Xenopus tropicalis: one gene and its partners. The protein of the gene in region 4 purifies or fractionates together with the protein of the main gene of each other region. This does not show direct contact. Links are inferred from orthologs where the notes say so. Each region holds a gene or a part of one and is shown on either strand. Other genes may lie near its edges. The genes, in order: cep78, cops7b, dyrk2, dcaf1, cul4a and cul4b.

Region 1 (3,500 bases), on a different chromosome or scaffold from region 4:
AAACGAACATTTTGCGACCTTTTTCGTATTTTTTGCGATTTTTTCGGCGCCTTTACGACTTTTCGGAAATTGTCGCGACTTTTTCGTTACCAATACGATTTTCGCGAAAAAACGCGAGTTTTTCGTAGCCATTACGATTCGCTCGTATCTTGTCGCGACTTTTTCGTATTGAGTGCTCGTAAGTGGCGGGCGAAACTTTCAGACTTAGCATGATTTTGGAAGCCTCCCATAGGACTCAATGGCACCCTGCAGCTCCAACCTGGCCCAAGAAAAGTCACCATACTGAAGCTTGAATGAATCCGAACGCTAAGAAAAAATCGCAACATTTTGCGCAACTTTCGGAATGGCTACGAAAAAGGCGCGACTTTTCGCACAAGTTTTAACGCTACGAAAAAATCGCCAGATTTTGCGCAACATTCGGAATGGCAACGAAAAAGTTGCGATAATTTTCCGAAAAAATCGCCAAATACCGATCATTACGAAAAAAACGCAATCGGACGCATTCGGCCGGTTCGTGAGTAAGTAAATGGGCCCCTTAGACTCACACTTGTGCAGTAGAAAAAAATTAGAAAATCTAAGTCTTCTGTATCTAGTATAAATAAATTTAAAGCAACTGGACTTGTTAAGTAATCATTGAAGACGTTTCACTACTCATCCGAGCAGCTTCGTCAGTTCAACTGACTGGTATGGGAAGTCCTCAGCATATATACTCTTCCACTAATCCAATCACAATGGCACTTTGTAACTAAGTCTTCTGTGTATGCTCAAGTCTAAAGCTTGCCATACATTATATACTCCTAAGTGGCCGATATTGAGCTAATCCAACTTTTGGCCCTAGGGGGTCAAACAAGATGGTGGCATAGTGAGTGGTAGTTTTTTTCCCTGGGCTGGTGGTACTGTCCTTGCTGCTGTCTCAACTGCTGTCTCAATTACTAACTTTTCTATGAGATACTGCACATGTGCAGATTTGCCCAGTGTTAGAAAACTATCCCTAGTATTCCCATAATCTAGAGATGTAGGTGTTTAATTTATCAGTTTTTGTTTGCTTCCCCCATGAGTATTGGTAATGGCAATATAAACTATAATTTTGTTATGGAAGTCAGTACTTTATGGTTGCAATAATTCTTTTACATTTTATTCTTCTGATAAGATATTTATTCAGTCCTTCTTAGTCTATTCCAAGATATTTATGATCTTTGTTTTAGCTGGAGTTTGAAAACACTCGACTAAGGCAAATAAATCATACTCTTTCTGAGTCTCTTCACTCGAGGACAGCTACCTCTGTGATCTTGGAGGATGAAGGTGTCCTTGACAGCATTGAAAAGTCCTTCAGCAAGTTCCATGCGTTTCTGGATCTTCTAAAAGATGCAGGGTAAGTTGCATGTGATTGGAAATTGGAAGGAAAACAATTGCTGCCGCCAGGCATGTTCTGTAACCTAGTATAAGCATTCCACACTCGCACATGTCCGGCTCTTTTAAACTGCACCTAAACTGAAGTCTAACATTAACAAAAGGTGTAGGTTTGCTTTAAAACTATTAAATATATATATTATGTATTTATATATTTAAAATACTGTACTTTGCTCACTATAGTAGGTTGTGTTAGTACATTTTGTACAGGTATGTTCTGTGTGGGATGTAGGCATGTATACAGTGTGCAATTGTACAGGATCAACATTTTGCAGACACTATGGGGAAGATTTATCAAAGTCCGAATTTCAGATGTTTAAAAGTACGATTAGAAAGAATTTGGAGTAAATACGATAACTTCTAATGTGCATTAATTGCGTGAAAATTTGTACCGTGGTCATACCAAAATACCGTGGTACGATCCGAAAGTTACGAAAATTTCATATCCGAGCGATCGGAAACGGCGGGAAACCCGTTCTGACTTCAATGCATGATTTTGGAAGCTTCCCATCACGAAAAAGTCGTACTTTTTTAACGATATTATTGTTAACTGTACGAACAGTTCTAAACTTCAGAAAAAATACAATTTTTTTTTTAATCGTACCCATTCGGACTTTGATAAATCAGCCCCTATGGGGCCCATTCATTAAAGTACGATTGAGTATGAATTAATGTTTTTTCTAATTTTTAGAACTTTGCGTTATGTTCACAATATTTTCGTTAAATTCTGCGCATTTTTCACGGTTTGCGTGAATTTCCGCAACAAAAACGTATCCCAAATTTGTACTTTAATGAATGGGCCCCTTAAATGACTCCTGTATTTTATGCCTTGTTCATAACTTATTTAAAGTTTAGGGGTCCATTGTGCCTCTGCATTCTGAAACTTATTCTGGATTCTTTATTTACAATTGTTGTGATCTTTATAGTGCACATTTTTGCACCTGGTAGTTGTATTTGTATTGATACATTAGGGTCCCATATGTAGGTAATATGGCTTTCAGTATGTCTACTACACCTAGCAATTATTTTTGATCCTCAGTTTTTATTTGGAACTTTTAAAAGTGTGTAACAAGCAATTTGTATATGCTACAGAAACATTCCTATAGAAAAATATATAGTGATATTTGTTATCTTGTTATTATTTAATTTTTGCAAAAGAACCATAATAATTCCTGATCGCTTCTGCAGCCTGGGGCAGCTTGCTAACCTTGCAGGCATTGACCAGTCAGACTTTGCTCTGCCAGGGGATCCTCAGATGTCTTCTACTATTGATAAAATAGCCCAGCAGGCACCAATGCCACATCAAGATCAGCAAGAAACATTCTTTATCCATCAGGTAAGCAGGCACTTTTTTTTTAATACAGGTTGTCCTCACAAGGGATTCTTCTGTGGTGCATTTAGGCACTTGCACAGTTAGGCGTTATCTAAACTTGCACTGTAGGTGAATGGCGTGTGTTGTTGAAACTGACTGGCTTTTTTAGAACATGCATCTAGATTCTATAAAAATGGCAGAGACGCCCACAACAATCATTCATGCAGAATACCTGCCGAAATACATGGCTTTTTCATCGTAGCCATTAAAAAATCTTCCATCAAAGGAGAAACTTCTGCAGTGACCACCCTTACTTTACTGACAAAGACCCCCAGATTTTAATGAAAGGATGAAGGGTAGTCAGTTAATGATTGGGGGCTAGTGATGGAGCAATTTATATGTTCCTTTATTCCCCCTTTTCAAAAAAAGGGCTTTGTTTAAAACTTTTTAAAGCGATTTACAGTGACTGACAGAAATTAGCTGTATTTTGCTAAGCTGATTTCATTTTGCTTGATTTTGTCCAGGAGCTGGGAAAGCTTCAGTTTCATGTTGTCATTTTATGTTAATTCTTGATATTTTTTCTAGGCACAAAGCAGAGATAAGAAAGGTGAGCATACAGGCCCATCAGAATCCAATGCTTTGACTGCTGATACACTCCCTTCTTCCCGAGAGGCAGATAAATATTGTACCACCAGCCAGAAGAGCAAAGAAGGTTTTGATCCTGATCTAAAGGCCAGAGAGGCAAACGTGAACAGTGGGAGGCTTCCTGCTCTGGAGA
Region 2 (4,015 bases), on a different chromosome or scaffold from region 4:
GCGCCGAAGTTTCCTCTCAAAGGGAAATCGCGTATGCCATCCCACCGGCGATTTACATACTCGCTGGTGAGATGGTATTTCGGGGCGACTAGTCACCCGCAACAAGGGAGATTTGTCGCGGGCGACTAGTCTCCCTGTCTGAGACAGCCCTTAAAAGGTCTTTACAATTGTTCCAATAGAGTAACACCCTAAAACTCAATACTAAAAGATGGGGGCCCCACCCACCTCTACCTCCTTCAACAGACAAGGCAAAAATAAAAATCACAATTTAATAGTATTGAATATATCTATCACATTAAAAACACCTTAAAAATTTGGCTGGCCAGCCTACCAATATTCACAATAACATATAATCACAGTAAAAACTAGTACCTCACTTCAATTCACATATATTAAAAAAGCAAAAATTAAAAAGGTAATGAATTTGGAGAGAATTGTTTTTTAAGGTGACCGCAAGCACAAGTTCCAATACAATGAATCTAGTGGGATAATTGAGAGGTTAACCCCTTGCACATTTCTTAACTCCTACTATGGATAACCAATGATGTTATGCAGGATTTTTTGGCAAAGTCACGATCCTTTAGTTTAATATAGTCAGTGGGATTATAAAGAAATTTATCATTTGCATGCTTCCTGATATGGGCTGTTAATAATAATGAGTTGGAAGTGTGCAACTGCTAAATCTCTCCTGCCCTAATAGAATCTAATAGAGTCCTAGCTTGCACTATTGTGGCTAATCCATTCACAGTAAAATGCCAAACTGTCTTTCCTTCTCCTTTAGTTGCCAGGCTTATTTCTTGCAGCAGGTAAGTTACAATTACAATTTTTACTGATTATGCAGCATCACCAGCTACATACACCTGACATATTGACACATACTAAGGTTGAATAAGATATGTTCCTACTTTAGTAGATTTAACCTAAAATACAACCCAATATCTTCCCAACTATGTTAATATCAATCAATTACACTTTTACCGCCTGAAACCAATAGTCAGTGTATGTATTTTGACCCTTTTCGTGTCCCGTACAACTTTTCTCCGTTTCTATGCGACGTGAGGTTTCTCTACTTAATGACGCGCGAGCACTCAACCACACTTGAAATCGATTTGTCCCGCCCTGCGTGCGACGTTCTCTCTCCTAATTGGTGCGTGGCGATATCGCTCAGCAGGGATTCCGACTGTGATTGGCCGGTGCTAGCATTTTTGTTGAATTGTACTAAACGTCATAGGGCAAATAGGAGGAACTGATGTAGCTTAGTAAATCTTCCTATCCAGAGCCTCTTGACAAGGGGGTAGTTGTTAAATCCATGCCGAAATAACGAGTAATTACTATACGATTCCGAAAAGCAGCGCAGTATTATAGAGTTCTTCCCAGTGCCGTGGCCCTGGGACCTCTGTGTTACGGAAAGCTAATCAGGGCGTCTGTCAGAGGCAGAATCCACGCTGCTCGCCTCCAGGTGCAAGTAAAACTGCAAATTCTGTTCAGGATTATTACTCTATGTGGTGGGTGTGATGTGGATATGGGTGTGAAACTACTACTTTTAGCTATTTATGCTGCTAGATTACCCAGCCAGATAGCCAGCTTGCACCAGATAAGACTACTTTTTACCAAAAAGACGTACTGACGCTTGATAAACTGGCTTGTTTATTACATTTACCAGTAGTGTAATTACACCTGTGTAAAAGATGCACATTTGTCAATGTGAAGTTAATATGCAACAACATTTGTTGTACTATGGGTTTAGTAAATTGCAAATATTGTGGCAAATCTTTGTTATGCCAAAAGTTTGTCAAACTTGACATTTTTGTGCTTTAGCAAATGTGCTTTGTCCTTTTGTAACCATTGCCAAAAAAGGATTCATATAACCCAGTTACAATTCCCTTGACATTGAAGCTGTCATATATTTGACAGTTGTGGCACTATATGCCCAAAAATGACGATATACTTACTGGTGCTTCCTTTATCTGTAATAAAAACGCACAAATACTAGAGTATTGTAGAAATGATACCTATATTGGCTAACAATAAAAATACATTGTAAGCTTTCGGAGCTCTAAGGCCCCTTCGTCAGGATAAATACAAATGAAAACTGAAATGAAAAAGATTCCAGTTTTCATTTGTATTGTGCCTGACGAAGGGGCTTTAGAGCTCCGAAAGCTTGCAGTGTATTTTTATTGTTAGCCAATATAGGTATAATTTCTACAATACTCCTTGTATTTGTGTTTTCTTATTATTTTTGACACTGGCTAACACGGTACTACAGTTTTTGTTTTGTTTCTTTATCTGGACACTATTGACACCAACTACACATAGAATTGTAATGTTATATGGGTGATTGAAGGTTGTAGTTTAATAGTAATCATTAAAATAAAATAGAGGATTAGTTGTCTTTTAATAATGCTATTTAATAAATAATAGGCCACAATCAAGAGCCATTTTCCCTGTTTTGGGCTTCATAATTGATTGCATAACATAAAAATTGTTTGTCTGAGAGAGCCCAAGTGTGTTCTTCTTCAAAGAGCTTGGTGCCTTTTTTATGATCATGGAATTTCATTGTGAATTTTAATAACCTTAATAACTTAACCATATGTGGTACAATTTTCCTATATATTGCACATCAGACATACTTTTCAAGCAGCTTCTGGGCTGCTGTCTTTGTTTTACACCACTGTGTGCCTCGATGGAATTATATTTCATCTAATTATTATTTTAAACTTTTTTCTTTAGTAGTTATGTATTTGATTAGAATATTCTCCACTGAACACTGCAGCGGTTCATACTTGCATAAATAAATGTTTACCACAGCAGAGGTAAATCTTGACAGACATAGACATCTTTATAGACAACTTAATTGTAGCAGTAGTGGCATCGCCAGATTATATCTGTAAATGCGAATACACTAAGAATAAATGTTGAATGTACAGAATGTTTGCCGCCCCACTCCGAAAGTATATTTTTTATGTAAACAAGTTAAATGTAACCCTGAAAGTGCATAATTTTCCTTTGAATTAGCTGACATTTATTGTTCATGCCATGTAACTTTTTTTGCTTCTTATTTATAGAGTTGTAGGAGAACAACTATAGCATGGCAGGAGAACAAAAGCCATCCAGTAACATTCTGGAGCAGTTTATTTTATTAGCCAAAGGCACAAAAGGTTCAGCCCTTCCAGCTCTTATAAACCAAGTATTAGAGGCTCCTGGAGTCTATGTATTTGGGGAACTTTTAGATTTACTTAACGTGCAAGAGGTAAGGATGAAGGCTACTGTTTCTTTCTCTAATAATGTTTTTTTAACCTGCTGAAACTTTAGGCACAATACTTGTCCAATAAAAACTGTATAGCTGTGCAGAAAATCTTCTAAAATCATAAAATGTTAAAGGAATAGTAATAATGCTGCTTTTACAGTGGTCATTATGAACCCTTTTGAATGTTTTTTTTATTGCAACTGATCATTGCTTCTTATTTTGGCATCTGTATAGGACACTGCTACTAGTGAGGAAACACTGCTGCCATATTGCTTAGTTGACAATTCACTAAATTCAGTATCAGTGAACAAATATATTTGAGGGAAAATATAATCATCTTTTAACACCAGACACTCTGGTTGTTCAAAGATTAATAGTAAGTCTGCAGCATCCCCTTAAAGGAACAGTTCAGTGTAAAAATGAAACTGCGTAATATAGATAGACTGCGCAAAATTAAAAATATTTCTAATATAGTTAGTTGGCAAAAATGTAATCTATAAAGGCTGGAGTGGGTAGATGCCTAACATATTAGCAAGAAGTCCACTTCTACCTGCTTTCAGCTCTCTAACCTCATAGTTAGTCGGTGACTTTAGGGGGGGTCACGTGGGACATAACTGTTCAGGTAGTTTGTGAGCACGCAGGTCAGATTCAAATGCAAACGGACTGAAAATTTATGTCCCATATGGCCCCCCCCTCAAGTCACTGAATGGTAATTCAGTTGGTATTAGGCTGTGCAAAATAAATAATATTTCTAATATAGTTAGTTAG
Region 3 (4,215 bases), on a different chromosome or scaffold from region 4:
ACCCTAGATAAGTCAAGGAACTCTATTTAGCATACTAGAGCTAGAGTTTGGAATCTTATGATTCTTGCCTAGCAGTCATTGGTTTGTAGGTACTAGAAGAGATGGTTGGGACACAAAAACACTTTGCTTTTTGGTCAAATTGGGAGAAGAGATGGTGGAGGGTACTGCTAGGAGTTAAAGAAAATGTCTAGGACACCAATGTAAAAAAAAAAAAAAAAAAAGAAGAACATAAAAACTTGGTACCTAATAGTTGTCCTTAAATTGTAACAAAAATATAATCTTCACATAAAATGCCGGAATTAAATTCAAAACAACTCAAATTGTGTTTATGGGTAACAGTGGGTGACAGCTGGTGTGGTCTAACGTCTTTGCGAAATGGAGAAAACCACTTTCAGGACCAGTCTTCACCAACACCCTTTTGGGCCCAGAAACTTTCTGCTGCAGAACTGACAGGGAACCTGCATCAGTGAGGACCAGAGGAAACAAAGAGTAAGAATACTTTTCGTCAATTTCACCCATTGTTGTCTCCTAAATCTTATTTTGCCCCTTGTTAGTACAAAAATACCCTCAAAGTATATTAAAAAAAAGTTGACAATTTCACCTGTCCCTAACTTGTGCAAAAAATCTTTCTTTTTTTGAACAAATTGGACAAAAGGCTCTGATAAGCAGGTACTGTTGGCAAGAAGGAAAAAGTATATCTTTAGTTCCCTGGCAAAGTTGGAAATCTGAGCAGAAAACATAAATGAGTTTAAAAGAAATATTGAGAGCTGAGGTGAAGGAGTTTTTTTTCTTTTTCTCTAACAAAAGTGTTAGAATGAATGCATAAAAGCATGAGGTGGGATCAAACAATACACAAATCTATGACACATGTTATGCCGCACCAATGGCTAAAAGCCGCCAATGCAGAAGAAAAGTTTCAACTGCCAAAGAACGTACTAGATATGTGTATGGCAGTCGAAGTGTTAAAGTATGAGGTTAGACTGTTATTGTACAGCACTGCTTAATATGTTGGTGCTTTATAAATAAATGTTAATAATAAAGGTTGAGGTTGTTCTATCTGGAGGAAAGGTGCTTAGAGGGGATTATAGGCAGATAGTTGGGGTTTTTTTTCCCATGAAAATGTTGTCTCTGAAACACCAGCTATAACACACTGATTGCTGATAAATCACACCTTACATATCTTTCAGAGGGCATTAGTATATGAAACAGGAAAATTGGGAATTGTGTAATAACAGGAACAGTGAATTTACCCCCAAGCACACTGATCCCATCTTACATTACCAGTTGGCTAAACTCAAACGAGGGGGCATAAAGTTGCAGATAACATGAAGTTTGCAGGCCGCCATATCGCAGAGAAAGCAGTAGCCCAGAATCAGTTGGTACATTTCCCCCACTTGAATCTACCGCTGCACTACAGCGAACCCTCCGCAGGGCGGTCACATGGTACTGTCACGTGATCGTGATGTCATCAAGGTCCTTTCTGAGGCAGAGGGACCTAGACGCTACCGGGAAGGAACATGCAGGCACCCTAGCTGCCGCCCTCCACTCCGTAGTATGCAGCTCGCTGACAGCAAGGGGCCCGGTAATCCAAGTAAGTGAAGCACAGCCGGGCCCGGGGAGTCTGTTGCCCCCTCCCCCCTTACCAAATGGCGGCCCTGCCCAGTATTTGCTACAGGCAACGGTGGATGTTCGTTTAAGCAGAGTAGGGGGAGGGCGTTTGCTGCGCTATGGTAACCCTGGTTCTCTGTCAGTCCCCGCAATCTAGCGTTACCATGCACCCCCGGGGGGAAGCTCCCCTTTATTTACCCCAGGCTGCCAGCGTTCCTATTACTGTAACCCCCAGTCACATGCGAGGTGAGTTAATGGCATCCCCAGTGTCTTCCTCTCTGTATTGTTGTGCCAGGAACCCCTCTGCCCTAGCAATCATGCCGGGGGCATTGTGTAGCTCCGTACAGTGGGAGCAGCCTGAGCATTCAGTCCCCTGCACGGAAAGGCAATAAATCCGTGGGAGACTGACAGCAGTGCCAGCCAGACTCTCAGCAAAAATGCCGTCCGACTTGGAATTCCTGTTTCTTTCATTTTCCACTTGCGTTTAATGGCCGGCTAATCTGAGATCATAGGTTTATCCCTATTAACAACAGCAGCCTTTACTGTATTAGCGGCCCGAGTGCTACACATGGCGTATGGCTGACATAGCTAAACTAATGGCCGGTAAGCAGTAACAAGGGCTGAGACTGGCTGCATGTAGTTATTGGGGGACATTCCTTGCCCTGAGCTATGGTGTTTGTTTTGTGCTTCAGGCAGAGGAGGTAGAGGCACCGGTCAGCTGCAGCCCTCCCCGGGATTACCGCGATCTGCAGCCGGAACTGGCCCCCCATCCCCCGTGTCATTGCCGCCCCTCAGAACCGGCAATCCAACGCATACGGTAAGAACAGCTGCTATGGGAAATACTAGCAGGGCATAGCTTATCCTTTACCTACTTACCAATGGCAACAGAAATGAACATTTTGCCTCTTAATCCTGTGATTTCATACCTTCCCCTCCTCCATGTTTCCAATTCCAGCCAGATGATTGGTATTAATAGAAATAAATGTGCAAGGTACAGTCAGGCTGACAGCCAGACACTGTTAGTCTCTATCTCATCTCTGTGGAGCAGAGCTCAAGAAAACAGCAGGGCTGATTCCCAGTACATTGTATGTGGACATTTATTTATTTATTTCTCACTCTACTTTTCTGATATTTTCTTGGAGAATGGAAGAAAGCTCCGTTTTAAAATGTGCAATGTTTTGATTTTTATTAGATTAAGCCACACCCATGCTTATGGGAAATTGAAAGCACAATTATATAATAATAAGCATATGATTTCAAATCATGGGGGTTTTAGTAGTGTGTTTGTTTCTGGTTATTAAACATCTTTCTGAATTATATTTAATACTTATATGCAGGTAGCACTCTCCTGTATATGCAATTGGTTTCATAGCTTTCCAGAACTGCTCAAGTGATGCTTTTTTTATTTTAAGAAATGTATAATTTAGTTAAATGTATTAGATGCAGAATATCAGATTATACTCAGGGCATGGAGTGACTGTTTCATTTGTCATCTCATTTTACTATCATAACGCAGATGTATATATAATATTAATGACATCAAATGTTATGGAGCTTACAGTTTTCATTTAACAGTGTTTTTGTAATGCCTGTCCTTTTAAAAGGACAGAGGTTCTGTCAAGTTTTTACTCCTTTGCAATCGGTATTCATAGAAACAGATCATTTCAATATGAGTAGAGCAGCTGCCATATTAGTGGAGCAGTTGCTCCCTGACAGCTGCTCTGCTTTGAAATATATTTTAGAACGGCATTTAGAGGAACAGGCTTTTGCAGCTACATTTTGTGCATGTATAGGAGTTACAGAGTTTTTTGGTTTATGGCATGTATTGCATGTATGGTACTCCAATTTGTTTTCCCCCTTAGGTTACTGACACAGAGCAATCTGAAAACATTAACTTTTTGTAGCTTTGTGGGCAGGGGATAATGCTACAAATTGTCCCTCCGTTAGCTTTAAATTGAATTTAGCTGGGGCAGTTTTGTGCATGTAATTACCACTTGACATTTTGGAGCAATAATCGCATAACACTGCACCGGATGCTTTAAACTAATTCATTGCTATTGAAGGGCATCTTTGGAGTGTTCCCCCTGCCTCTGGAGCTACAACAAAGTATAATAAACCATGCATAGTGCAGGATATTTTGAGTATGTCAGCTACTTGAAAACAGTGGTGATAACCAGTAAATGAGGCTTAGATTACAGTTCCGTGGCAGCCTTGCCAAACAAGCAGATTTAGGCCAGCTCTTTTGAATTCAACCAACAATTTGTACACAGCTATGTAGAAACATTACAGATCATTTTTCTGTTAATTCTCATCTTTAAATATGTATGGTATTGATGCAAGGATCTAGAATTGTGTCAGTGTGGGGTGTTGCAGTCTCTGGGGGAATGTAGGACATTTACTCAAATATTGTAAAAACACGTAGGAAATCCATTGAAAATCACCGTACTGGTTAAATTTAGAAACTGTATAATTTGAGGAATATATCCGTTTAGTTTTCTCTAAATAGTAATGCATGCAAGGGTATTGCTTACTGCTGAATGCACTGAGCATCCCAAGTTAACTGCAAGTGTTGGTTATAACCTATATTTCATTACATTTCACTACATT
Region 4 (3,500 bases):
AATTTCTCCCTTGAAATTGCATATTCAAACAGACAACATTTCACAAATCTAAAATACTGTTAAATTAGATTTGTATCACTCTGCACAGGAAGTAGTGCCAGACTGACAGGAGACACAGCCAATAGGAGTTAAGCATGCTGCCAGTACTATGTGTGATTCTGAGACGAATCTCTCTTCAGCTGCACATTTCTGTTAACTATGTATATGACAAAGATAGTTCTGTTAACTATTAGATTTGTGAATGTTGTACAAAGGTGAAAAACCCCTTTAATGTACTAAATAATTTCATATACTATCCATAAATCAGAGCAGACTGGCAACTAAAGCTCCTGGGAGGTTTTTAGCTCACAACAGCCTTGGAGGCCTTAGTTGCTTATTTTATGGTTCTACAATAGTGAAATAGTCCAGGGCATTAGATAACGTTGTAATTCAAACTTAGGGGTTGATATAAGCTGGCCATCTACATGAGCCCACCATGTAATATGATAATAACCCAAGCAGTCAAATGAGCTTTTCTTCTCTTCTACATTGAACTCTACTATAACATTTGCTGTGAGCCGGTCGGCTCCTAACAATGCAATAATATACAGTCTTCTTCTGAATGTTTGGCTTCTCCTAGATTTTTACGTTTGAAAGGTTCAAAATCTGCCATAGAATATATGTTGTATTATATATGGTATATACACGTTATTCTGTATTCTGAATTACAAGTAGGCCATCTCCCATAGACTGCAGTTTAATTAAACAATTTACATTTTTAAAAATAATTTCCTTTTTCACTGTAGTAATAAAACAGTATTTGTACTTGATCACAAGTTCACAACTAAGATATAATGAATCCCTATTGGAGGCAAAATAATTCTTTTGTGTTTATTTAAAGCTAAATTTATTTTTCAGTAGACAAGGTAAGGAGATCTACATTACAGAAACTTATTTAAAAAAAACCCAGGTCCTAAATATTCTGGATAGGAGGTCCAATACCAGTACAACAAAGATTGGTTGAGAGCTAATTCCACAGCCAAAAAGGTAAATACTCACATGAGCCACATCTTCTTTTGTGCCAATGACACGATCCTGTGAAAGTTTGCTGAATTCAACATAATGATCCTCAGTAAATGAATGCCTAGAAATGAAAATGTAGTTGAGATTAAAAACTGCCCCTAAAGATGGTTGTGTTTTTAAACAGGAGCACTTTTTCTAAGGACTATTTGTTAACCTAGCAAACTCACTTCATTTCAAATACAGATTTCATGCTCCAAAGTGCTGAGAGAGGTTGGCTCCATGTGGCTGCAGTTAGAAGAAGAGACCCATCCTGTGAGAGAAGGACAGGAAAGGTTGACTGGGAGTTTAAAGGAGAACTAAAGCCTAATTAAAGAAGTAGGGCAGAAATATTGTACATTATGTTTCTGGCTTCTGCACCAGCGCGTGGCACCCACAGCCCTTTAGCAGGGAAGATCTGTGCCCCCAAAGATGCCCCCAGTAGCTCCCCATCTTCTTTGCTGATTCACTATACATGCTCTGTGCTGCTGTTAGTTACTGAGCTTAGGGGCTGATGCACAATATACTGTATATATAGAAAATAAATGTCATAATATAAGGCTGATTTAGAAAAGAATACATATAATTACTACATGGCAGCTCTGAAACCAGTGCAATTAGCATCACAATTTAATAATCAGCCCTGTATCATCAGCTTATATGACAGCTGAACCTCATTTTCTGCCTGATAATTTGCGACAAATCCTAAGCTTAGCTTCTCAACAGCTGCTAAGAGCATACGGAGCATGTGAGTGTCAAAGACACTTCCGAGTTAGGGAGCTCCTGTGACAAGTTTTAAAGTCTGGTCATGCTTCTATAGAGATGCTGAAACTTTAGGCTGTGCAATATATTCAGTATATAAAATATGGCATTTTTATCCATATTCATTTTTAGGTTTTAGTTCCCCTATAAAAGGAGAGACTGAAAAAGTGAGATGCAGGCCAGGCAAAGGCAGGGAGGTTATTAACTGAATGATGCTTACCCGAGATGGCTCCAAGTGTGTTATTGCAGAGATATGGCAATTGTAACTAGCTTCTTCCTGCCCACTAAACACGTTGTATAGTTTCAACTGCCCTGTGCACGTTCCCAACATCAGAAAGCGCTCACGTGCAGAGAATGCACAACAGGTGAAACCACTCTCATCTTCATTGGTTTCACGAAACACAGATATTGGACGGAACCTGCCAACAAGGAAGATAACATTAGACTCTAAAAGCATTTGTTCCAGGTTTCCCTTGAGTCTTCTCAAAACAAGAAATTCCAAACATAATTATGTGGTCCCCTACATTACCTGCTGAATATTAGATGTCGGTCAAAACAGCCCCCATCTACACCTCCATATTTGGGAAAGGCAGCACGTCGGGTTAATCTGGAAGTGCAGTTTGTAGGGGCTTGCCTGCGTTGTTTAGGCTCTGGGCACTGATGTGGAGTAAAGAGGGAGAAAGGGGGGCATATAGCAACTGGATTCTTGCAGCGTGCATGCTGTTCTCGCAGATACTCAGTCATAATGCTGTCCAGAGTGGGAGGAGACGGCACATGTCTTTCCATTTGCTTTCTGAAGGCAGGGCTTTGGCTATAGGCTCCATGATCTGATTTCTGCCGCAGAACACGCCCCCTCTTTCCATTACAAGGTGACTGCCGTTCTCGAGCAAAGCTGATACGCCCAATGAGTGGTGAGCCTGTGGATACTGGGGCAGGAGATGATAAAGGTGGTGGTAACTGAGGTCTTGAAGAAGGAGGGTGAGGGCACAGTGCTGTACTTGAAAGTCTAGCAGGGATCCGTGGTGTGCGTGGCAGAGAAACAGGTGAAGAAGTAGTGGGTGGTTGGGTAGCAGTGGCAGGCAGGTAGGTAGAAGAATGCAAAGCAGCAGTCATAGGTAGATCAGCCTCTCGCGTCAATGTGGCCACAGTTTCCTGCAATCCCTTGGATACCAGGTGATTCCGTATTAGTAGCAAGAGTTCTTTTTCAGGGAATGTAATACGAGATTGTGCTACTACATCTGCCTTTTGCAGGCGTGCAAGAGACACATCACTTCCCATTAGCAGTGGCTTCCCAGACACTCGCTCAATCAACTCGGCTGCATACTTGCAGAACCGCACATGCTCACTACGCTTGTCCTGGAGGATTGGCTCTTTCATCAGCTGCTGGATCTGGCTGCTGCTGAACAGGGGCAGCTTTGAAATAATTTGTCGAACTGAAGTGCTCCTGCTTAGGCCAACTAGTGCCTTGCAAGCCAAAGCCCTGATCTGATCGGCATCCGTGATGGGCATTTTAACAGACAGCAAAGACAAAAGAACTTTGATACCATTATTAGATTGGACAACATTCCACATCTTGGAAAGTGTAGGCTCTCCACGTCCGTGATGATGGAAGGTCGGACAAACAAGTCCCCTTCTTCGAGGTGTCCCAGAGACATACTTGCCAATGCTGGAGACTCGCGTTTCAGGAGCACAAACACAGT
Region 5 (4,182 bases), on a different chromosome or scaffold from region 4:
AGTTACAATTTACATTTTTTTAGATTAGTCACCCACGACAAGGAAGATATGTCGCACGGCGACTAATCTCCCCATGTGTCACAGAACTATAATAAAGATGCTGATCTTCATGCCAACACACTTTACTGCTCCAATATGCCTGTCCTCCCATCCACTCCACTTAATGTGTCCCTTTTCACAGCTGTACAAAAACAAAAGGTAATAACTACATTACTATAAGGAAGCCTACAAAAAGCTCCAAATCTACATCTAATCTCTATGTAATGGAAAAAGAGGAGCACAGCCTTAAAAATGATTTCAATGCCTGAGTGCCAGTAATGCTTAGTTCACAGCACTCTGCAGGTTTTTTCAACAACACTAATAAGTGTATTTATCAATGGGAAAAGTACATTATTTGATAAATACGCTTCTAAAAATCCCAAAAGTAATGAATGGAAAGTGGGTGAATTTTTCTGTGGTAAACTTCTAATTTCACATTTTGATAAATCTGCCCCTAAAGTGTGTTTATTGGTTCAAAGACCTGATGCTTGTTATTAACTATATCCACTGTCCCTTGAGAAGTATCTATAATTACAGGAGATATTAAAGACCACCATCACAGTTAAAGGATGTGCTATGTGCTGCTCCCCTGCTGCTGTTCAACATTAAAGGACAAGGAAAGACAAAGTCACTTGGGGGTGCCAAAATGTTAGACACCCCCAAGTGACTTTAATCGCTTACCTTGTACCCCGGGCTGGTGCCCCTGTTAGGAGAAAACAGCATCAGCCCGGGGTACGTGGAGTGATGCGCTTCCTCCTTCCTGCTACTTTTAGCTGCGACTATGCGGTAGGCGCATGCGCGGTAGAGTGAAAAGTCGACTTCTTTGTTAAAGTTCAGCTTTTTCACTCTTCTGTGCATGTGCGCGCAAGCGATCAGGAAGGAGGAAGCGATGCAGCTACCCCGGGCTGGTGCTATTCTCTCCCAACAGGGGCACCAGACCGGGGTAAAAGGTAGGCGATTAAAGTCACTTGGAGGTGCCTAACATTTTGGCACCCCTAAGTGACTTTGCCTTTCCATGTCCTTTAAGACTAATGGCACAGAGGTGTTTGATCATTGGTGCCCTCAGAATAGCTGCAGTCCAATGGTCCATCCCCTCCTGGCAGAACTGAATGTAAAGCTGGCCATACACACACAGATGATATTGTACGAAACCTCATTCGATGCATGTATGGTGGATCAACGAAACGACCGATGGTCGCAGGAAAGTTTAGAATTGCTACGTGTATGGCTCCATTCTGAATGTACATAAAACGGTGACAGACCTTGCAGCCTGCCAGAAGACTCAGGAGAAAGTAATAGGACATAGGGCATTTTCGCCACTGTTACTCTCTGAAGGAGAACAGTCACAGTCAAAATACCCATCTCCACCTGTCACTGCTCTTAATCTCAAGCACCCTGTTTAACATACACATAGCAGATATAGGCGCTTCTGCTCTTAACTGTTTTGGTGCACTGGTCTGCCTGTCACTACTCTGTGCCCATCAACCATGGCACTTCTGCTGAAACTATCTAGCAGAAACCAGCGGATTAAAGCTAATAAAAAAAAACATAGTTCTAAGCAACCAATATGAATTTATTAAAATGTTTTTGGTGCTTTAAAAGTTATTTGTAAGTACAACTGAAGGCAGAATTTGCTTAACTGGTGGCTATGCCTTTTAAAAACAATGCTGAAAAGCCAGTCTCCTTCAGCAAGACAGGTCTGTCTATCTGCTGGATTATGTTATATTGTTTCAAAAGCCACAGCCACCTGGGCAGTGAATAGAAAAGGACAATAGCAATAATATCTACAAATAACTTAAAAACCATTACAAATTTGTTATGAATGCATATTACAAGGTTGCTTAGAATTATGTTTTATTTTATTAGGCAACATTTATTTTGGGTTGACATGTCTTTTAATAGACTTAGAAAACTGACCTGCTACACTGGCTCAGGAGTCAATATCAGCCAACAGAAAGAGACACACAGATATTGCATTAAATAGCACATACATTTAAAACAACTTGAAATGTTAATGTAAACTGGAAAGTATATTTTACATGGCATTATTAGGGAAAAAAACAATTTATATGAGGATATCCCCATTAAAACGAGCAGAGGTGCCTCAGGTTGGACAGATCCCATGACTTCCTTCTTTAGGTGATCACCTAGCCCTCAACGCCAAAGCCAAGTACTGCTGCACAAGTGATCAACAATGTGAGGCTTTTCAGAAACTGTTAAATTTCAGAGGTCAGCGGCCATTAAAGGCACCAAGGTCCTGCAACTACGAATGCTAGCGCTTACAGAGTTGTTAAACACAAATAAACACATAGAGACGGCTGGGGCAGCCGCCTGGGGCCCATAGATGTAGCAGGGAGGGGGGCAAGGCCGGCCCAATCACCCACAATTACAATCAAAATAGCAGCTAGTAATGTTACACAACATATCCCCCAGGACTCTTTAGCTGCCGCTGATTTTCTTTGCAGCAATGACTTACAAACAAACGCTCGACTTCCGGAAAAGGAGCAGTTTAAAGGTGATCCCGAAGTCTTAAAAAAAACATATTGAGTGCAAATGTGATGTCACAGCCACGTGACCAAGAAGTGGAAAAGAGAACATGATGTCACGAAGGGGCGTGTCTAGCTGCGGTTTACATCAAGGACCCGCCCACTATGAAACAACCTGAGAAAGCTGCTGTCAGAATGGAAATTGAGAGATATGCCACAGAGTGAGTGAAATGTTAACATACATTTATGAGGTTACCTGTGTAATTAAAATGGCGTTCCATATAGCGGCTGGAACTATCACCGGCATTAGCCGCTGATAATATGTACAGTCACTTCCGGGTCAGGGGGCACAATAGCCGGTTTCCGGGGGAGTTAAGCGAGAGTAATTTTGTCTTTGCAGGAGCACAATTGTGTAGGAAAGCGAAATGCAATTTTCTTACTTAATTTGTTGTTAAGATATGAATGTTTTGCTTTTATTTTCAGGGTAAGTACATGACACCATCTCTGGGCAGGTTGTATTGCGCGCTTGAATGGAAACTCACGTGTTTCTTGGTCAGTGTTTAATGCTTTAGGCTTTAGGACAGTAGTCTTCACAGTAAGGATGAAGTTCTGCAAAGGGGATGACCAGTCCAAAACTGTCATTTTGTGTAATGTGAGAAAATGTAATCCTACACAACTTTCCAATACATTTAAATTGAAAAAAAAGTTTTTTTAAATAATTGTTATCGAAATATGTATTTGCTACTCCTTTCTATTCTTTACACTCACTTCTGGTTTAAACTTTTGAGTTTGTATTAGGACTACCACTCTACAGAAAATTCCAATTTCACAAAAAAAAGTTACTACTATGGTCTTAGTCTGGACTCTTCCCCAATTCTCTCCCTAATCCTAGAGTGCTGGCATTCATTACATTAAAATTCATTGCCGACACATTTTGCTCATGGCAATGCATATAGTATTTATGCAACCTTTTTAACAGTTGATACATTCCATCTTATTCTTCTTAGTCTTCTTAGAAATGAAGCAACAAATGTAGCAAATTGTAACACTGTAGAGAGCCTGCATCTTGATTTTGAGGCACTACAGTAAAATACTATATAAAAAGATTTACATTTAAAATTAAAGGGGTGGTTCAGTTTTGAATTGAGTTTGGTTTTAGCAGCTATCTGGTTTCTAGAGTCCAAATTACCTTAGCAACCAGGGAGTGGTTTGAATGAGAGGCTGGTATATGAATAGGAGAGGACCTATTCAGTAATAATAACAAAATTGTAATCTCACAGGGCAATAGTTTTCTGAAAGCTACAAAAGGTTAGAAGAAAACCGCAAATAATTAAAAAAAAACCTATAAATATTGAAGACAAATTGAAAGGTTGCTTAGAATTGGCCATTCAATAACATACTAAAAGTTACCTTAAAGGTTAACCACCCCTTTAAATCTTACAAAAAGTTAAACAATCTAATTGTTGACGATGTGCGTGAAAACAAATTAATGGAAAAACGGTTTCTAAGGCAAACTACCCTTTTTAAACAGTAGTATAGAATTTTTTCTCAGTGTTTGATGCTGTCACTTTTAACTCATTGTAGTTGTAATATTCTGATTGAACACCCTTTTGTCAAACTACAGTGTGTCTGTATTAACTGGAAACAGTGTAAATGT
Region 6 (4,233 bases), on a different chromosome or scaffold from region 4:
ACACAAGGCTCTTTAAGTTACCTGAAGGGGCTTTTTGCCGCCTCCAGTAACTTGCCAGGCAATACAGCCTAATGTGAGTTTCTCAACTCGCCTCATGGCAGCAACGCCCGTGAGTTCTACAAACACCTAGCTTCAACATTATTTGGGTATATATAGTTTATATTTGTAAGTGTATAGATTGGTCTATATAGGTATGTGTATTTTTGTGCACTGGGGTTTTTAGAGATGTTGAACTTGATAGGCTTTGGGCTTTTGTCAACCCAAATTAGTTATTTAGTTATATGTAACATCTCTATTAAGCTTTACCAGATGATTCATAAGTGCTTTATGCAGTGACCAGTGCTTGCATATCTGTTAAAAAAAAAAAACAATTGAATAGGGTCAAGTGCTGAAACTAAGTATGAGCATACACCTTTTGGTGTGCTTAACATGTGTTGTTTTTGCTGGTGTTATAACTTGTATGCAGGCTCACAAGCACATAGAGAACCCAGAATAGCTGCTTTATAAAAAAAAAACACATTCAGCCATTGCTTTCAGTCAGAATCTGGTATACAGCTGCGTAATCCAATGGGAAGCCTTACTCTCCCAGAGATTATTATATCACCCAAATTGACCACTTTGTATGATATAAGTTTATTTTAATCTGGCACTTAAATGAATAGTGGGGTTAATATATGTACTTTTCATCCCTGCTATACACGCCATTATACATTGCTTTCAGACACAAACTTCATGTTTGACGCTTACTGAGTAGTAGTACTGAGTAGTTACTGAGGAGCTTCCACAAGGAACTCATTTTAAGCGGGAAGCGTCACACGCAACTACTGGCGCTCTCCTTTATGTAACTATTCTAAGCCTCTCCGGCCCCCACGCTGCTGAACAGGCGGTACCATGTGGAGGCATCAGGGGGAAATGTCACCCAAACCAAGCTGATTATTGGTCCTTATTCCCTTTAGGCGTCACTACAGAGGCGGGAATATTCAACCCTCGACTCCTCCCCCTCGAGTAGTTTCCAGCCTCAGCCCCTTCCTTCCCCTTGTCGGGACTCCTCGCCGGCACCAACCTAAGGCGGAAGCTCGGCGAGGAGAAAGGGGACGGATGAGGCCCGCACGGTCGGGCATTATGAAAGACCTCATCGCTAGTCCTTCCGGTCAGTCAAAACAAGGTACGAAGGTTGCCATGACATCACAGTAGAATAAAAAGGGGAGGGGAGAGAGGGAACACAGCCAGCCTTTCGCGCTATAGTTAATGCAGTAAGCGCTACCCCTTTGGTTTTGATAGTTTGGCAGCAGCTGGCGTCAAAGGCTCCCTGACTGTCCCGGCTGGGAAGGGGTGTGGGCTCACGGCAGCCTCCTGGGGAACTCTTCCCAACATGCACTGCGAGAGGAAGTGAGGCCATCTTTGGTTCCCTGCTCTTGTGACAATAAACAAGAAAAAGAGTGGGGATATCCGGAGAGCGGGGCCGGGGCCTTCACCGAGCAGAACTAAAGCAGAGTGCCTGCCGAGGGGGCCACTGGGAAGCGCTAACCAAAGGGCCACGTTAGCTGTTTGTTGCGGTCCCCACACGATCCAGCGGTCACACACAGTCTGGGCTGCCTTGAATCTTTTCTATTTGTGGTGTTTTCATGTTTCCCACAGGCTTATCAACCCCCAACCCCCCGGCGCAGGAGGTAAGGACTGAGGGAAACAGCACCTCCAAAAAGAGAAGGTTGAATATCAGCAGCAGCGATAAGGACGATTTGGACCCCCTGTCGCCCCCCAGAAACTCCTCTTCCTCCTCTAACCACATCCAAAAGAAGCTGCGTTTTGAAGACACTTTGGACTTTCTAGGACTCGATGTGAAGATGGCCGAGGAGTCTCCTTCTTCTTCCTGCTCATCCTCCTCTACTCCCCAGGCAGTGAGGAGTAAAAACCTGCTCATCTCCCCAGTGGGCGTTGGGCATCATGCCAATGGCCTCACAAAAGCCTCACCCGTGTCCAGTTTTGCCAACAGCAAGCCTGGCTCAGCCAAGAAGTTAGTCATCAAGAACTTTAAAGGTAAAGAGGGATGGCACCATTCAATCAGCTCTTTGATAGGTCACTTCAGGGAGTGTAATACTTTGACCAGAATGTGCTTAAGGACCAGGTGATTACAAGGGTGCTCTGGTCAAAATAAAATCTCCTTTAATTTGGAATTCAGAAACTAGCATGCTGTCTTGTGTCACCCAGTAGTTTGGGGCAAACGTTTGCCTGTTTGGTTTTTTCATGATGGTAAAATTACAGTTTCCTTTTGGCGTTATTTTATTATGGTTGAATCTATCTGGAATGGCAGTTTTGACTTCTAAGGGCTTGTGTATTGATGCACTCCTAACCAGCATAAAGCCAAAGTGTTTTAAGCTGGTAATGCTTGATTCTTTCTATAGGGATCCGCAATATTTTGGAGCACTTAGGGGATTTGATGCTTGTTACAAGCATTCCTGTTTGACCCAACCAGATCTGTGTGTCAATACTAAGAGCGCTACAGTTAAGGGATATCTTCAATGCAAAGGCAATCTTTTCTATTAAAAAAAAAATCTTTGTCACAACCGATCTAAGCTGCAGTGTCAATATTCCTGTGGGACTCATTGGCCAAAGCCATTTTTTTTTTTTTTTTTAGTATCTCATGGGACCAGTGCCAAAACACTGAAAATCTTTCTTCAATGTCCACTTCCAGAATAATTTGAAAGTGAACACTGTTTATTTTAGGCATTTGTCTACACACAACACACAAATCATGCTGGTGTTAGTGAAGCAACATTCAGGACTAAACTACACGGGAGCTTTTGTAGGATGGTTTCAGATCAACAGAAAGCATCCTTGCCCTTAGGGCTCTGGCACACGGGGAGATTAGTCGCCCGCGACTAATCTCCCTGAAATGCCATCCCACCTGTGTCTCGGGCATACGGGGTGGCGCGATTTCAATGAAATCGCGCAGGTTTCCTCTCGAGGCAACTTGCGCAATTTCACTGAAATCACGCCGCCAGCGATTTACATTTTCGCAGGTGGGATGGCAATCTGGGGAGATTAGTCGACCGCGAACAGGGAGTTTTGTTGTGGGCGACTAATTTCCCCATGTGCCAGAGCCCTTAGACAATCTGCTAAATAACTGTTAAGGTGATAACTGCAACACTTTACACAGATTTGTGAGGCTATTCACCATTTACTAACATGGCTAATCAGAATCAGGTCAGGCTGGTTCATTTTGGGCCCACACAGAAGTGTGTTTGTTGACATTTGCAAACAGATTGTTTAGTGGTATCAATGTGGCTTCTGGCCCTGATCTCTTTAGGGCTCTGGCACATGGGGAGATTAGTTGCCCGCGACAAATCTCCCTGTTCGCGGGCGACTAATTTCCCCGAAATGCCATCCCACCGGCGAAAATGTAAATCGGGATGGCGCGATTTCAGTGAAATCACGGATGTTTCCTCAAGGCAATTTCCGCGATTTCACTGAAATTGCCCTGCCGCATATGCCATCCCACTGGCGATTTACATTTTCGGGGAGATTAGTCGCCCGCGAACAGGGAGATTTGTCGCGGGCGACTAATCTCCCCGTGTGCCAGAGGCCTTAGTGCAAAGTGGGGGAATTTAATAATTTCTAAGAAATTTCTATCAGTTATTGGTGCATGAGCATTATGCAAACTGCAATGCATGTGCACCAGTTGCTAAGTGGGGGGGGGGTAAACTAGGCTGGTGCCTAGGATGGCACATGACCAATATACAGCCCTGGGTATGCCCATAATAAATTTATATATAAAGGTTTAGCTGATGCAGCTAAAATAAGGTAGAAACTCAGGAAATTGTGCTGTTAGTTTGCCTTTAAAAAGTAGTAATTGTATGTAAAAAAAAAAAATTACTCTGTTTTGGCAAAAGACCTTACCAGCCTCTTCATTTTTTTGTACAACTGGTATTAAGTGCTTGTGATTTTTTCTGATATACTAATAGTACAACTAATCCTATATCAAACAGACACAATGCACACCTAAATTGTAGTACTGTTTCATATACAGGCTTGAAGTAGAAATGAAGGAATTCTCGGCAAAAGAACTTGTCTGCTCATACAGTATAAAGGAGCATTGCCACATTTATTGGTAAACGGTGATACAAAGAGCAACAATACACTGTTTACTGTTTACAAAGGAGTATTATGTATGTCTATGTATTTGCAGTGGCAAACCTCTGCAGCACCAAGGGATACTTGCGTTTTTTTTTCTGG

Evidence for each region.
Region 1: the proteins of dcaf1 (region 4) and cep78 purify together in Homo sapiens (affinity purification with western blotting; 3 studies listed by BioGRID, with this or other methods). This does not show direct contact. The link is inferred for Xenopus tropicalis from reciprocal best matches to the Homo sapiens genes DCAF1 and CEP78.
Region 2: the proteins of dcaf1 (region 4) and cops7b purify together in Homo sapiens (affinity purification with mass spectrometry; 3 studies listed by BioGRID, with this or other methods). This does not show direct contact. The link is inferred for Xenopus tropicalis from reciprocal best matches to the Homo sapiens genes DCAF1 and COPS7B.
Region 3: the proteins of dcaf1 (region 4) and dyrk2 purify together in Homo sapiens (affinity purification with western blotting; 5 studies listed by BioGRID and IntAct, with this or other methods). This does not show direct contact. The link is inferred for Xenopus tropicalis from reciprocal best matches to the Homo sapiens genes DCAF1 and DYRK2.
Region 5: the proteins of dcaf1 (region 4) and cul4a purify together in Homo sapiens (affinity purification with western blotting; 15 studies listed by BioGRID and IntAct, with this or other methods). This does not show direct contact. The link is inferred for Xenopus tropicalis from reciprocal best matches to the Homo sapiens genes DCAF1 and CUL4A.
Region 6: the proteins of dcaf1 (region 4) and cul4b purify together in Homo sapiens (affinity purification with mass spectrometry; 9 studies listed by BioGRID and IntAct, with this or other methods). This does not show direct contact. The link is inferred for Xenopus tropicalis from reciprocal best matches to the Homo sapiens genes DCAF1 and CUL4B.

Annotation. Positions count from the first base shown.
Region 1 is NC_030677.2:132,575,132-132,578,631, forward strand, and holds part of cep78 (centrosomal protein of 78 kDa), read left to right. Parts: intron 1-1,205; coding exon 1,206-1,372; intron 1,373-2,568; coding exon 2,569-2,746; intron 2,747-3,307; coding exon 3,308-3,500. UniProt on the Homo sapiens protein: Centriole wall protein that localizes to mature centrioles and regulates centriole and cilia biogenesis. Involved in centrosome duplication: required for efficient PLK4 centrosomal localization and PLK4-induced overduplication of centrioles.
Region 2 is NC_030681.2:101,190,800-101,194,814, forward strand, and holds the start of cops7b (COP9 signalosome complex subunit 7b), read left to right. Parts: upstream 1-1,215; 5' UTR 1,216-1,473; exon of another isoform or gene 1,474-1,505; intron 1,506-3,065; 5' UTR 3,066-3,088; coding exon 3,089-3,250; intron 3,251-4,015. UniProt on the Homo sapiens protein: Component of the COP9 signalosome complex (CSN), a complex involved in various cellular and developmental processes.
Region 3 is NC_030679.2:58,472,271-58,476,485, forward strand, and holds the start of dyrk2 (dual specificity tyrosine-phosphorylation-regulated kinase 2), read left to right. Parts: upstream 1-1,415; 5' UTR 1,416-1,440; coding exon 1,441-1,591; intron 1,592-1,611; exon of another isoform or gene 1,612-1,727; coding exon of another isoform or gene 1,728-1,854; intron 1,855-2,300; coding exon 2,301-2,425; intron 2,426-4,215. UniProt on the Homo sapiens protein: Serine/threonine-protein kinase involved in the regulation of the mitotic cell cycle, cell proliferation, apoptosis, organization of the cytoskeleton and neurite outgrowth. Functions in part via its role in ubiquitin-dependent proteasomal protein degradation.
Region 4 is NC_030680.2:127,315,037-127,318,536, reverse strand, and holds part of dcaf1 (DDB1- and CUL4-associated factor 1), read right to left. Parts: coding exon 2,330-3,500; intron 2,220-2,329; coding exon 2,021-2,219; intron 1,313-2,020; coding exon 1,230-1,312; intron 1,124-1,229; coding exon 1,039-1,123; intron 1-1,038. UniProt on the Homo sapiens protein: Acts both as a substrate recognition component of E3 ubiquitin-protein ligase complexes and as an atypical serine/threonine-protein kinase, playing key roles in various processes such as cell cycle, telomerase regulation and histone modification.
Region 5 is NC_030678.2:116,032,484-116,036,665, forward strand, and holds the start of cul4a (cullin-4A), read right to left. Parts: upstream 2,801-4,182; 5' UTR 2,782-2,800; intron 2,747-2,781; exon of another isoform or gene 2,651-2,746; intron 2,624-2,650; exon of another isoform or gene 2,516-2,623; intron 1-2,515. UniProt on the Homo sapiens protein: Core component of multiple cullin-RING-based E3 ubiquitin-protein ligase complexes which mediate the ubiquitination of target proteins. As a scaffold protein may contribute to catalysis through positioning of the substrate and the ubiquitin-conjugating enzyme.
Region 6 is NC_030684.2:46,091,676-46,095,908, reverse strand, and holds the start of cul4b (cullin-4B), read left to right. Parts: upstream 1-1,433; 5' UTR 1,434-1,625; coding exon 1,626-2,037; intron 2,038-4,233.